Arabidopsis thaliana: one gene and its partner. The protein of the gene in region 2 interacts with the protein of the main gene of each other region in a biochemical or structural test. Each region holds a gene or a part of one and is shown on either strand. Other genes may lie near its edges.

Region 1 (7,494 bases), on a different chromosome or scaffold from region 2:
AAATCTAATTAGCCATTTTTTTCCTCTCATCTCCTGCAAAATATTACAACCTCACAAGTTTTGATTACCGATTAAGAAATATTCTATAACAACACAATTTTGCCTTACGTTTATTTTTTTGACCAACTAGAGTTAGCTTTATTTCAAGATTGACATCAATGTATCCACCATTACCAAATTTCAATTTGTTACCATTTTTGCAAATTACCACCTTTGCCTCATAGGTTATTGTAAAGTCAATAGTAATTTTATACAATTCCGCATCTCGAGTAGAATGCTGGTACCCCCATGTAGTTTTGCATACATCAATCCGTTAACTATGTTTTGTCCAAAGCAACAATGTACACCATTCATAGCTTCCATAGTTTTGCATTCTTATCTTCCAACAACTTTTCATTCTTAGCTTTGCAGTCATTTAATGTAGTTAATTCTCGACGAACACTGCGCCACAAATACATCGGAGAAAGTGGAACAAACTCACTGTCCAATCCATGTAATACTCTAGCTGAACTAATCAAATCATTGGACACATATGTCCAACATATTAAATGGCTCATTTGGTTTCGAATCAAACCTCCAAAAATTCAATCTTATTATGTTTTCTACATCTACTATATACTTATCTAATGGGTCTTTCGTATATTGTAACAAAACCAGGTAGTCATTACAATCATATTAGGATCATATCAAATATGAATTAGGATTCAGCCCATTCACCTTCTCTTCAAAATCATCAAGCGAGATTCTGAGTGGTATGCAACGAGATTAATGTTTCAAACTAGAATCATAAGCTTTCTTCGCATGTTCCAAATCACTAAACCGTTTTTCAAGCTAACCAAGTATCAACCAAAGCTTGAAGAATGGTGGTTTAAAAATTCATTTGATTCTGGAATAAAATATAAGAGTTTAGACTTTATTCGGTTATTTTTAGATTTTTTTTTTTAATTCTTAAGACTTAGAAGATATTTTAGATTTTGACAAAAATCTCACAATACCGCCTAAAAAAACGAATGGAATGGTGATAGAGACAACCGAGATTAGTTGTTTTGAATTCGCGATGTTTTATTATTTTATTTTCGTCATTACTCCTACTATTTTAGTATATGTTACTATTTTAGACTTTTAGTTAGATTTAAATATTTAATTACTTTATTATTATTGTTAGACCATGGTATAATTATTTTTATATTTATATTTATACAAACTAATAATTTCTATAATATTAAATAAATTTTAATCAATTGATCCGTGGTCGAATCCGGTTGATCCATTGACCCCGTGACCTAAAAAGTAGTCTAGTTCACCATCCAGGTCGGGTTTAAAAAGATTGCATTTAAGTCTAATTATTGGGCATAGAGAATGCTGAAATAGTAAGTACATAAAGCTGGAGAATCAAACCTGATTACACTGTACAAAGCCATATAGGAAACAAGTGTCAATTCGTTCTTCTTTGATGTCCATATCATATGGACCATACGAGTCATCATCCTCCAAAGATCTTAATCTTGATTTTATATAAAAAGTTATGGGTCTTTCTTTATAGTGGTGCAGAGTTAAGGCTTTGAACATTAGAAACAACAAACTTGGAGGTACCCAAATATCTCTGATTCATATCAAATCAGTTACCAAATCACTCAGGCCGTACCAAGCAAGATATAATGCATCTGCAAGCAGATCCGAAACTGGAATGTGTCTTATGAAAACACCAAAAGTATTAAGGAAGAATTGCAAAATATACATACAAAAATTATACTATAAAAATCTTATGCAAGTGAGACTTATGCCTTATTTCATCTAAAGAAGCACGAATGTCTAATCATCAAGATTACACACTGATTTCTCGATAACTATATACAATCTTCCGGTCCCTTTCATTTTCCTCCAAAGCCAAAGCAGCAACACTGTCAAATTGCACAAGACAAACCAATGTTCAACACACACTCACTATTTGAATACGTATTCACTAATGATTATACTTGAAAATGAGTTTTAAAGAATGTCTTACTGAGGAAGTGTTGTTCGGGTTACGGGAGCTTTGATGAGTCGGCGTTCTTGAAGATCCACTCACATTTGCTCCAGAACTTCTCTCTTCACGGACTTTATTGAAGATATGCGTGTATCCGTCAGCTGATGACGGGTTGTTCTCGTCCCAGTCACCGAATTTAGGCACCACTGTGACTTTTTCAGGCTATATATAAACAGATGACAACACATAAGCAACAAACAGAGATATTCTCACTTTAGAGGTTAAAAGTGAGATTCTTACACTTTCATCAGCTCTAAGGTTGGTAGGTTTAGGCCTAGATTTTCCAGTACCATCATAAGAATTCTTATGCAAAGGTGACTTGTTGTCATAACTATTGTTCTGAGAAGCTCTTCCTTGTCTTTTGTTAGCAGCTTCATTTGATGAACCACCAGCATCACCAAACTGTTTCAACTCGCTCTCTTCTCGGCTTCTCATATGCTCACGTGATCTTCTAACCGTGTCAACTTGCTCAGGTTTGGTTCTGGAAGAAGGAGGATGAGGAGGAGCTTGTGATTGAGAGTCAGAGTTATACTCCGGGTCATTCGGGTTCATGATCTTGCTACCGGGTGCTCGAGTCTTACGAGCTTTGTCAAAGTAAGCTGTGTAAGGAACATTCTCCTCAGCTTCCCAGTTTCCAAATTTTGGTACATTCGAACGCTGTTGCAACAAACAATTCAACAACAATGTCCTTCCACAAAACATTCAATAACATAACATCCTAAAGAACAATCATCACAGAAACAAGATAGCAAATTCACTTAAGAATCCAAAACAGAACAAATACAAATTGGGTTTATCGATTTCGACCAAGTACAATGATAAAGTTGAAATCTTTGCTAAGCAAAAATAGAAACTTTACCATAAAAATAGTAACTTTCATAAAACCCTTTTCTTATCTAAAGCAAATCAGAATCATAAAGTTGAATACTAATAGACATCGCAATCCATAGAAATGTTATCTCAATAGGAAGAACCATAAATGCAAATAGATTAAGACTCAACTTTCTACAAATCCTCCAAAAAAAGGGTCAGAGATTGACGGAATCGAAACAAAAACTATAATCTGAGAGAAAGCTCTAGACCTAAATAAGAAGAAGAGGAGAAGGAAAGAAGGAAAGAAAACACTTACTGCCATGGGAGAGAGGTAGCTAAAGAATTGAAGTCTGAAGCTTTTGTTAGGTTTGAGAGAGAAAGACAGAGAGAGATGTGAGAAGGAGAGGAGACGAAGAAGAAGTTTTATAAAAGCGTTGACTAGTGGTGATGCTATGTATTCTTTGACCCTTCCTCTCCTCTCTCTAATCTTCTCTTCTCTCTTTGTCTCACTCCAAACTCTATTAATTTCATTTCTTAACTCTATTACTAAATTTTCATGTATTGTCAAGAGCACTCAAACGCCGTTACCGTTACCGTCACCGTTAAAGGCGGCTTTATTTTGGTGTCCATGTTACATTGTTTTCCTCTTAAAAGATTGTAATAAATATTTTTGTCCTAAAGAATTGGATATGTGGGTCGGAAGCAACTTTTGGTGGAATCTTCTGCTCTAGTAGATAAGTTTTGTGGATCTAATAATTATATGCTAATAGAATAATTTGATTATTGATAGCAACAATGTTACAATGTTATAGCAGAATTTAGTGAATTATTGATCTTGGATTTTAGCGGATTAATGAGTAGTAATAACTGAAATTTCTTTTGGTGACGATTGGTACCAATTCGTCTATAGATAGGTTACCATTTGAATCAACTACTTGCAATTTTTGTGATACAAATAGTACAATAACTATTTTTACAAATATCGCCATTTAACGCTAGTACGTATACTTTTATTATTTACACTCATAGTTTTTTTTAGAGAAAACTTAAAAGTGTTTTGTGAAGAGTACTACAAAGTGATAGTAAGTAAATAAAAAGTGTTCTACGAGTACAAGGAAAAAAAAAAGGCAGTATGAACAAAATAGTTAGAAAACTAGAAATGAGAAAGTTATCATCAAAGGTGGTTGACCACAACTACCTAATCTCTTTTTGATCTTAGTTGATGTTTAAGGTTTTAGCACACTAATCAAGAAACTAATTAAATGATCAATTGTTTCTTGGTTTTCACATTAAAACATCATTTATAAAACTCAACAAAATTATTCAACCAATAACAAAAGAAAGAATTGAAAATGTTTATGAGAAATTGAGAATATTAACTTCTGAAAAGAAAAAGAAAATAATCATATGGAGACTTTTTGTGTTAGCAAAGTCAAAGCTGCCTCTTTACACTGAAAGACCCTTTTGAGAATTTACGTACCTCTTTCTTCCAAGAACAAATAACATGTCTCGTAGCATCTATTATCGAATCACCAATGACAATAAGATGTTCACTAAAAACCATAATTGGAACATTATTTTAGTAATTTTTTACTAGACAAAGTTGAAAAATGGAAAGTATTCAGCGTTGTTCACATCAATTTATTTGTGGTTGCCGTAGCGATAATTATTCAATGCTCCCGTACTCATACACACGTGAACTATATAGTCCACACGTACAAGTGTTTTCACATGGTTAATGCCTTAATGGGAATATTTTAGAGATTGTTCACGAAAAAATAAGAAAGATCAAATCAAAGAAGACAGATCGTTCAGCTTCATCAGTTTCTCAACGTGAGTGTGTCTTTTTATTTTTTGTAGTCAAGTGATATGGTTAGTTAAGACTAAAGACAACTAAGAGATCGTGTGCATTCTTAATTCTTTTGGTGTTATTTAGTTTTGGAGCGTTACTCTATTTTTGGGACATACAACAATCCACCCCAAATCAAGTTTATTTTATATAAATTGGTCCACGACGGATTTCTTCTATTTGTCTCAATCCATACTCTTACGGACTATAATATATAAAATGGTTCAATCCGCAAACGAATTTGTCCGCCACAACCATACAAACCAGTGTCACAAAGCCACAAAGGTAAGGGTTTCTCAATACATTATTTAAGGGGTTTATCACTCTCTTAGTCTCTTTAATAAGTCTCAATTCTTAAGTCTCTTTCACATTTGTCAATTAACTTGAATTTGCACTTTGGTACTCTGCTTTTCTCAAAGGGACCAAGAACCTCTTGGTATTTTCTTCTCACTAAAATTGAAATTGACCCGGTTTGGTTTTCTTGTTCAACGCGTGGAATGTATTGTTAGAGTTTTTGACTAAAACCTCACTCCAAAATAGGGCCACATGAGTCAGAAATGGATGTATATATACATACTGAAATAAGAATGGATGCTCATAGAGACAGAACTATTCGACTCCGGAACATACATCTCTTATCTCAGTTTTCAAGTTCCTCAACACTTGCAACATGTGATAATGTTCATGGTGACTCAGATCTTCCATGAGAAAAGTTCGAAGCTCCCCATTTACTTCGATCGCGCTGTAGCCTGGTACCTTCTCCATGGCCCCATTTCTCATCAACTTCCTCACTTTGGCCACTTCTTTCCACTTATTGGCAGTTGCAAAGAAGTTAGAAACCAGTGTTTGGATCCCAATACTATCCGGATTCAACTGGAGAATCTTATTAGCCGCAATGTCCCCGACTGATAGATTCCTGTGATTAATGCATCCTGAAAGAAGAGCAACCCATATTGGTAAAGCATTGTCAAGTTTCTCAGAGTTTATCATATCAAGAGCTTCTTCGACTCTCCCTGCACGTGCAAGAAGATCAATCAAACAAACGTAATGCTTTTCACTCGGTTGGATCTTATATTTGTTTATCATGACGCTGAACCAATGTTGGCCTTGTTCTACGAGACCCGAGTGGCTAAGAGCAGAGAGAAGTGATGCAAACGTGGCGTGGTCGGGTTCTATGTTTGATTCCGTCATTTTGAGAAACAACGATACAACTTCTTGACCGTTTCCATGAATTCCATAACAAGATATCATTGTGTTCCAACAAACCAAGTCTTTCCTTCCTACATGTTCAAAGATTTCTCTTGAACTTGAAAGAGCGCCACATTTTGAGTACATGTCCATCAAAGCAGTTGCGGTTACTCGATCAAGAACGTGCCTTTTCAAAATATAACAATGTACTAATCTACCAGTCTTTAATGACCCGACTTGCGAACACGCCACAAGTACTCCAACAAGCGTCACTAAATCCGGTTGAAACCCAAGGCTCTGCATTTCCACAACAGCTTCAAATGCTTTATTAGCTAATCCATTTTGAGCAAATCCAGAGATCAACGACCCCCACGAAACTGCGGTTTTAAACATCATCCTACTAAACACCCTAGAAGCAACCTCTATAAACCCAACTTTTGCATACATATCAACCAGGCTGGTTTCAACCACTACATTCATAGGAAGACCTGTTCTATACAAATACCCGTGAACCGAACGGCCCATTTTCGTATCCCCGAGATCACCAGAAGCTTGTAAGAGACCCAACATCACAACCCTATCCCTACCAAACCCTTCATTCTGCATTTCTCTGTAAAACTCAACAGCCTTCAACGACTTACCAGCCTGTGCAAACCCTGTCACCATTGTTGTCCAGCAAATAACATCTCTTTTCGCCATCTTTCCAAACAAAACCTCTGCTTCATCCATTTTCCCACACTTCATATACAGATTCAAGACAGATGAACAAACAAAGACATCATTTTTATACCCAAAGTCCACTGCTTTACACCACACAGCCTCTCCTTTCTCTAAAACCAAACCACTTAAGCACGCTTTGATCGTCATAGTGAACGTTGAGCTATCTGGTTGAATTTTTTCAGCTATCATCTGATCATAAAGTCGCAAAACCTCATCTGGATTTTTTCCACGAGAATAAACCACAATCATGGAATTATAAACAGAAACACCCCTCTGCGGCAATTCGTCGAACACCTTACGTGCATAAGAGATCTCACCGATTCGTCCACATGAAGCGATGAGATCTCGACTAATAGAGCTTCCATTAAGTAAATTACCAGTACTGATTACAAAAGCGTGGATCTGAGTGATGTGCCGCTTGAGTTTAGAAATGGATTGCAGAAATTTGATGCGTTTCGGACACAGGAGAGTCCGATGTAACATGCAGAAATGTTTTGTCTGTACCATGATGTTTTAATTCTTAGAGCTAACTTCTTCAAAAACCAATTTGATTTGGCAAACTGGAACCTACCGTCCGGGTAAGGCACTTAAACGAGAACCGAAAAATTAACTAGTTAAGAAACATATCTTATTTATCTTCTGCAATCATATAAAAACATTTTGAGCATACACAATTATATTTTCACTATAACTTAACTCTCTTCTCTTGTAACTCGTAAGCAGTAATTTTTTTGTTTCTTAATTAGAAAAAGTAGATTTAAAAATCCCCTATACGTATATGATAATTAACGTATATATGTTACTTCAATAACATTCTCTAGGAGGAGTTTGGTACTTAGAGCGATCAGTACAATAGTCATAGTTCATGTACTTGCTCCTCACATGTTCATAAAGTTTC
Region 2 (8,167 bases):
AGATGTGATATATGCTATAAACAAAAAAAAAAAAAAAGAATAAACATGAAAGGGTCTTTTTCACGGAAAAAAACAACTTATAATTAGATATTATCTTCTTTATTCCCGTTGAAATAATTAAACTAAATACATACGTTTGCTAGTATATTTCAATACACATTTTGATTTTGATGTATGCGTACGTTATCAAATTTTCATCAAGAACCTAATACACAAATCTGAATTTCACATCCACATAAATATATTTTATATTATATTTATGTGCATGTACAAAAAAGGAAACCCAAAAATTAAATACGGTTTCATAGATAAATTAAATAAAATATTGTAAGAAATTATGTTGGAGCTGATATTGTGCTGGGCAAGTACCAAGACTACTTAATGTGGGTGTCACGACTCTTGCTGTTCTATATAGACTATGAATTGCTTCAGTTCAGCCACATAATTACATAAATAATTAAATCTTTAAACAGAATCATGTTACTAAACCATGATATGTTGGTTTTCTTTCTAACCCCAACATGTAGAAGTGTCTTCGCTATAAATATTTGAATTATGGAAACTTCCTCAGGTCCGGAAGAACTTGAAGACTTGGTGCACTAAAAGCAAAAACAACTTCATTTGAATATTTATACTTTATTAGATATTCAAATGAATTTAAAATGGAACAAATTTCTATAACAATTAACAATTCTTGATAAATTGTTATACAATTGATTACTTGCTATCCAATTGTATCTCTCCAATCACACCATTAAACAAAAATAAAAGACAGGTATCTAACAAAGATAGAAAGTTTGGTCGGAAAGAATATACATATATGATATATTTTATATTAACAAAAGAAAAAAAGAATATACATACATATACTTAACAGAAAAAAAAAAAAGATACATACAAATACTTAACATATTTTTGTCTACTTGTCGTTGTGGATATACGTACGGATGAAGAAAAGGATATTAAAATAGAAATGGTAGCTTCTCTCTTATGATCTAAAAAGATAGACTAAAAAATTAGTGACAATTTACAATAATTGGCGATCAACAAAATAGATTCTAAAAGATAAATCGCTTATTTTCGGAGATTATGTCCAACCAAAAAGAAAACAAAGTATTATTACATGTTTCACAATACGAAGCCAAAAAAACAAAAGGGAGAAAAACCCAAAACTTATACAAAGGAAATCTAAATCAAATGTTTTACAATTAATTCTAAACTCTACTGTAAAACATTTCAACAGTCGGCGGTATCAAAATCATATAGAAGAAAAGTTTAATGTATTATCTTACCAAAGGCCAAAGAGACGATAGAAATCTACGACAACGGAAAACGGTTTAGATTACATTACTGAAGAAGAGTTTTAAAAAAACTACACCTTCATAGAAGTACTAGACGAAAGTATATTGATCGAGATATCAAAAACATCATCCCTCTAAAAAAATCAGACGCAATTATCGAAAATTAATGGTATTTTAGCTGCGATAACATCTACCAAGATTTCTCCCATAACTTTTTTGATCTCTTTGTTTTTAACTTTTTTTTGCCAAAGGATCATATGAATATGTTTAACATATGTTGTAAAACCTAATTTTCATATAAATGATATTTACATGAGTAGAAAAAGTAAAGCTAGGCCAAAGGCTAAGTGTGACTAACACAATTATAGATTATGATAGATCATTGGATGAAAAAAAAAAATAGAGTAAAGCCTTGATGGAAAAAATGAGAAGTGGGACCGAGTAAATGTCAACTCAAACTGAAACAAAGAGAATCTCTCAAAATATTAATTATAGTTGAGAGATGAATAAGTCGCCGTCTTCAGACAACGCGGAGAGATCTTTCTTCACCTTTGTTCTCATTATATTATTTTCTCTTCTAATTATTGATATCTAAAAACGATGTGTTTCTAGAAGATCGACAAATTTGTCTATCTATCTATAATAATATATATATTGCATTTCTACCAAACTCTCTTTCTCATCTTTGTTTTTTGAGGTGTTTGTTGAAATGTAAATTTCTATGATTTTTCATTTGTTTTCTTAGTTTTGACCAAACTATTTTGTTGACTATGTTGTTGCTTGGAGAAGAAGGGAAAGAGAGGAGTGTTAATCTTCTAGAATCGTAATATTTTAAGTTGACTCTTTCTAAATAATATTATCGTTTATCAAATTATTTGTAGATAGGCATGATGACATTAGAATTTTAGTTGTTGATCTATTGTTATATATGTTTAGCTTGTTAGTAGTTCATCCCCATAAACTAAAGATTGCAAACCTTAAACCAAAAAAGTTCACAAAACTCCTGATAATCTCCCAAAGTCTCTATTTGGAAGATAGTCATTGCATAGTTCGAAAAAGTGAGGAGGACTACAACAAAAGATAGTCTCTGCATTCATAGGTTTGAACTATTTCTTTATTAAAAAAAAAAAAAAATAGTTAGAAGACAAAAAGTAAAATATAATGGGAAAAACAAATCTTATAATTCATGGGGTTTCCAGAACTTTAGTTCATAATATTTCTTAGTATCCAAAGTTTGATTTTAGGTACTCCAATTTAAAGAATAAGTGAATAATTTCGTAGATAGTATATGTAATCCAAAAGATACTATCACTAGACCATTGTTCCTTTGGTAAAATTGGAAATAGTTTAAAACAAGAAGAATTTCATAGACAATATGTAATTTTAATAACAGTTTGATAGGAAACAATAATTTTCAATTACTATCCATCTATCCTTTTTAGAATCGAGATACAGTAAACCCTCGATAAACTAATAATATTGGAACCGTGAAATTTTATTAATTTATCGATGTATTAATTTATCAATAAATTAATTATAGATATTTTAGGCTAATTTTGTAATTTTAAATACTTTATGTTTTAAAAAAATACTTATGTATAATTATTATTTTTTTAGAACTAATTACAACTAATAAAAAAATATTATGTATAGAAAACAACAAAAAAGATTTTGAATATAGTAAAAATATTAAAAATGAACTTTAGAAATAATGTAAACTAAAAATATATAGCAGAGTCGTATTTCACCAAAATTTTCATTTATAATATATTAAAAAATTTATACAATTATTAGTTTATCGAGTATTAATTTATAGAGGTTTTATGTATGCTGTATATTTAACGAATACATCTTTTAAATCATATATATGAAAGCACGGGATTATGCGGTTTCATCAACACACTCAAAACTTTTACCTATGAGTAAAAATTAACAAACAATATACAGTGCTTAATAAGAAATATATAGTTTTCATCCTTCATAATACAAACTCTCCTATAAAATAATATTTGTAGAAAAGAATAATAATTTTTAAATATATTAAAAAAAAAAAAAAAATAACAAAATCCGGCGGGTAGCGCGGACACTCACCTAGTAAAGCTTAAAACTTAAAGGATATTCCATGGGAATTAATATGTGATGGTTATTTAATTTGATTCCATCAAATAGTTAACAGAATTTAAGCTGTATATTTAATTTCGTAAATGAAAATATGTTATTATTTTTTTACTGAAATCGTGTGATTATTACCAAAACTAGTAGTCAATTTTGACTGGTACAAACCACCACCCTATCCAGCTTGTAACTACTAAAAATGATGAAAACAAAATAGAAGCACACATACAAAATAGCTTTATTATTGTTTCTTTTAAATTCATACTCAAACTCTCAAATTCGAAGAAAATACTAAACAAAATTATTATTTTATCAGAAACTTCTTTTTGGCGTCATTGCATCAGAATCACATGTTTATGGTCCATTGACGTAAAAAGATAACACGTTAGAGAAAGAGGGCAAAAGCTGTCATCGTCTACAATTTTGGAAGCACCCCACCACTGACTAAAAAATCAACTCGTTAATAATTTTCTTAGAAACTACTATCAACAAAGAATAAAATAAGCATGTGTTATAAAATTAGGGTGATTTATTTCAATGTCAATATAAAGCCACCCCAATAGAATGAGTTTTTCTTTGTGTTAAAGGAGTAGCAATAGTAGTAGTAGTAGGTGAATTTGAATTGAAATTAGTAATCTATAAAGTCTTCTTCTTCTTCTATCTCTCCTCGTGACCATTAAAAACCGAGTTATTATATTTATAACATAAAACTTTATATTATAAAGTCTTCTTCTCATTTTCTTTAAAAACCATTCCATCTCTCATTGCAAACCAAACAAGAAGAAGAAAAGAAACACAAAATCAACAACAATGGCGGTGAAGAAGAAAGTTTCATGGAGATCACTAATCGTTGGATGTTTAGGAGATCCAGAAACCCTAATGGCATCTTCAAAGAAACCTAAAAGAAAAAATGACGTCATCAAGAAACAGAGCTCTTTTCAAAGACTATCGATACTTGATATGAGCAATCCAAGTTCCAACACTTTGTCAGAAGATCTATCGATTTCTTTGGCCGGATCAGATCTTCATGTGTTTACCCTAGCGGAGCTTAAAGTCATTACACAAAGCTTTTCATCGACCAATTTTCTAGGTGAAGGTGGGTTTGGTCCTGTTCATAAGGGTTTCATTGATGATAAGCTACGTCCTGGTCTTAAAGCTCAGCCTGTTGCTGTTAAATTGCTTGATCTTGAAGGTCTTCAAGGTCACCGTGAATGGCTGGTTAGTATCTTTTCTAAAAATATTCCTTTTTTTTTAATTGGTCTTTTTTCTTATATTGGATTTAATCTTCTTTTCAGACGGAAGTTATGTTTTTGGGACAATTGAAGCACAAAAATTTGGTGAAATTGATTGGTTATTGTTGTGAGGAAGAACATAGAACTCTTGTTTATGAGTTCATGCCTCGTGGAAGCTTAGAGAATCAACTTTTCAGAAGTAAGGCTCATTCTCTTTCTCTATGTTTTCTTATTCAGATAAATATATTTTTGGAACTAATCTTATGACAAGTGTTTCTAAGCGACTTTGGATTAATCTTTCAGGATACTCTGCCTCGCTTCCATGGTCAACAAGAATGAAGATCGCTCATGGAGCTGCAACAGGACTTCAATTTCTACACGAAGCTGAAAATCCTGTTATCTATCGGGATTTCAAAGCCTCCAATATCTTGTTAGATTCCGTAAGTAACAAAAAATCCAACCCGATTTTTACTCTTAAAGTCTCTACAGTCAAAGTTTTTACAGTCAAATTTCTTACAGCAAAAGCGTTTACAACCGAAATTAACAGTCGTTACCAATCAGCCCTTATTTTCCAATTTATAATTCCTAAAGTTCTAAAGAAGCTCCTATACCAAATCTTGTTTTCAGGATTACACGGCGAAACTCTCTGACTTCGGGTTAGCCAAAGACGGACCAGAAGGAGACGACACTCATGTGTCAACTCGAGTGATGGGCACACAAGGCTACGCAGCTCCTGAATACATCATGACCGGTCATTTAACAGCAAGAAGTGACGTATACAGCTTTGGAGTTGTGTTGCTAGAGCTTTTGACCGGACGGAGATCAGTAGACAAAAAGAGATCATCGAGGGAACAAAACCTTGTGGACTGGGCTCGTCCAATGCTCAATGACCCACGTAAACTATCTCGAATCATGGACCCGAGACTTGAAGGTCAGTACTCAGAGACAGGAGCAAGAAAAGCAGCAACATTGGCTTACCAATGCTTAAGCCATCGACCCAAGAACCGGCCATGTATGAGTGCCGTCGTCTCTATACTCAATGATCTTAAAGACTATAATGATATTCCTATGGGGACTTTCACTTACACGGTGCCAAACACTCCGGACAATAAAGAAGATGATGGTCGTGTTGGTAATAAGCCACGTAAGAGTAGTCATCATCATCATCATCAACAACAACAAAGTAATCATCCCCGGTCGTCTCCATCTCCGACAACCAAGTCTCCATCTCCCACGGCCAAGTCGCCGAGGAATTCAACGGAAAATCACCGGAGAACGTTGAGAAATGGAGTGAATTCGCCGTTGAGAAGTGAGGCAGGTGGGGAACGGTACTAAGTTTTTCTAGTCACACCAACTCTTAAAATTCATTTTTTTTCCTTTAATCTAATGTAAATAATTCATACGTTTGTCTTTTCGTAATGTAAGAATATATAATTATATTTTTTTTTGTGAAAAATTGAGCTTACTTTGTTTTTTTGTAAGTCTTTTTGTTTTGTTTTGTTTTGTTTTGTTTGATCAAATCAAAAGCAAGAACAAGAAGAGCGGTCCAATATGATATTCTTTTGTTTATGAACATTTCGTCGTCTAACGAAAGACGCGTTATTCACCGTTAGCTTTTGTCCTTCGCATCCTAAATGGAAAATGCTAATTAATAAGTTTTTGATATTATTTTCTTTTATGATTTATGATAATGGACCAATTATATATGCGTTTTTTCAAAATCAAGTAGTGTTAGTCTAGTGGTTTCTACTTGAGGAGGAATTACCTTATTGGTTCAGGTCAGAAATCGATTTCTTTCAACCGCAAAATTGCTAGTTATTTTCATTTGGTCAGGGGCTTTCACTTGGTCTTTCCCGGACTCTGGGAGATTAAGGGCCTCGATCCCGACCCTCCTAATTATCAAAAAAAAATTATATATACATTTTTAATAAAATGTATGATAATGGACCAATTATATATGCGTTTTTAATAATTTGAATAAATTTCTTTTAGGCTAGTAAGACTATATGATGTGCTTGATAACAACATCAATTGCATATATAAATAGCCTCTTTCATTTTCATAATTTATATATAAATGTGGACATATAAGTACGTTATAATAAAATGAAATTAAATGTGGATATATGATTCAATTCAAAGTTTTGTCTTCTCACAACATAGTGGATCAGTCTCATAAAGTATATGTAAATCACGTCTAAAATATATGGACATTTCTTTGGTGGATATTAATTATTCTACAAGTTTGCATTATATTTGAAATATTTATGATCGCGACTGATCAACGTGAAAACCCTAAAACATCAAGGATCAAACAAAGTGGCATGGATATTGCAGTTTCACGACAAAAAGATAAGATAATCACATTAATTTATATCGACACTTTCCAATCACTTTAGTTTTCACAATTTAGCATGCATATACTAATTTGCTAGGAGTGTTGATTACGTATATATATACTATCATAGATGATTAGGGTTAATTTAAGACTTTTGGGAATTGCATCTAGTTGTATATTATTATATAGTCACTTAATTAGAATCATTTGGATACAGCTTGCGCATTTAGTTACTTATAATAGTTTTATATCTAGAATAGGCGTGCATGTGTATATTTATAAATGGACAGACAAATATCTGAGACCAAATCGATCTTCATTGTTGTAAGAGTCAATTGACAGATAAGCTAACGATTGTATAAAGTCTCTTAACTTTCTGCCAATTTACCTACTAATCTCCCACTATCCCCATTTGCTATAATTTAAAATTACTATCATTTTATGACAAGTCTTAGTAATACGGCTAATGTAAGATTATTGACTGTACAATATCTGTTTATAAACATTATTTGTAAAAATTAAGAATACTAAACTGGTATTTCTTGTATTAGGAGTCAATACTATAATAAAATATATTAGTCTTTAAATATATATAAGTTTTGAATATGTCATTAAAATTTATAAGTATTATTTTAATTTATTTATATATCAAATATTATTTCCAAGTTATTTTAACTTACTGTGTTTTAAATAGCTTAGAAATGAAAATGTGTAAGAAAACATGATAGGGTCATCATTTATTTTAACCAATTAAAATCTGACACCTAATAATAATAAAAATAATTTAATTTAATTATAAAATCTAATTTGCCACTAAAACAAAATTGTATATCGGTTTGGGTTTATTAGAAAACGAGGTTAAATATCAGTTTGGGTTTAGAAAGTACGATTAGGGGTTAGATTTTATAATTAAACAGATTAAATATTGGTTTAGGTTTATAAACAGATTTAGATTTTATAATTAAACGAGGTTAAATGTCGGTTTGGGTTTACAAAATACGATTAGGGTTTAGATTTTTTTACGATTAAATGAGTTTAAATGGCGGTTTGGGTTTACAAAGGAAAATTAAAGTTTAGATTTTGTAATTAAACAAGATTATATATCGGTTTGAATTTATAATTATAGTTTTAATTTATTATGTAATTAAGTAGGATTTGATATGGCATATTTTTATTGATCAA

The links. The genes of interacting proteins can lie anywhere in the genome.
Region 1: the proteins of RIPK (region 2) and RIN4 form a complex in vitro, tested with the Arabidopsis thaliana proteins (one study listed by BioGRID).

What each region holds. Positions count from the first base shown.
Region 1 is NC_003074.8:9,128,125-9,135,618, reverse strand, and holds RIN4 (RPM1 interacting protein 4), read right to left. Parts: upstream 3,482-7,494; 5' UTR 3,162-3,481; coding exon of another isoform or gene 3,156-3,161; 5' UTR 2,729-3,155; coding exon 2,267-2,728; intron 2,189-2,266; coding exon 2,006-2,188; intron 1,902-2,005; coding exon 1,872-1,901; 3' UTR 1,531-1,871; downstream 1-1,530. Other genes in the region: AT3G25060 (Tetratricopeptide repeat (TPR)-like superfamily protein), read right to left, coding at 5,298-7,103; XTH3 (xyloglucan endotransglucosylase/hydrolase 3), read right to left, coding at 7,401-7,494.
Region 2 is NC_003071.7:2,285,330-2,293,496, reverse strand, and holds RIPK (Protein kinase superfamily protein), read left to right. Parts: upstream 1-3,860; 5' UTR 3,861-4,226; coding exon 4,227-4,634; intron 4,635-4,711; coding exon 4,712-4,847; intron 4,848-4,951; coding exon 4,952-5,088; intron 5,089-5,275; coding exon 5,276-5,983; 3' UTR 5,984-6,259; downstream 6,260-8,167.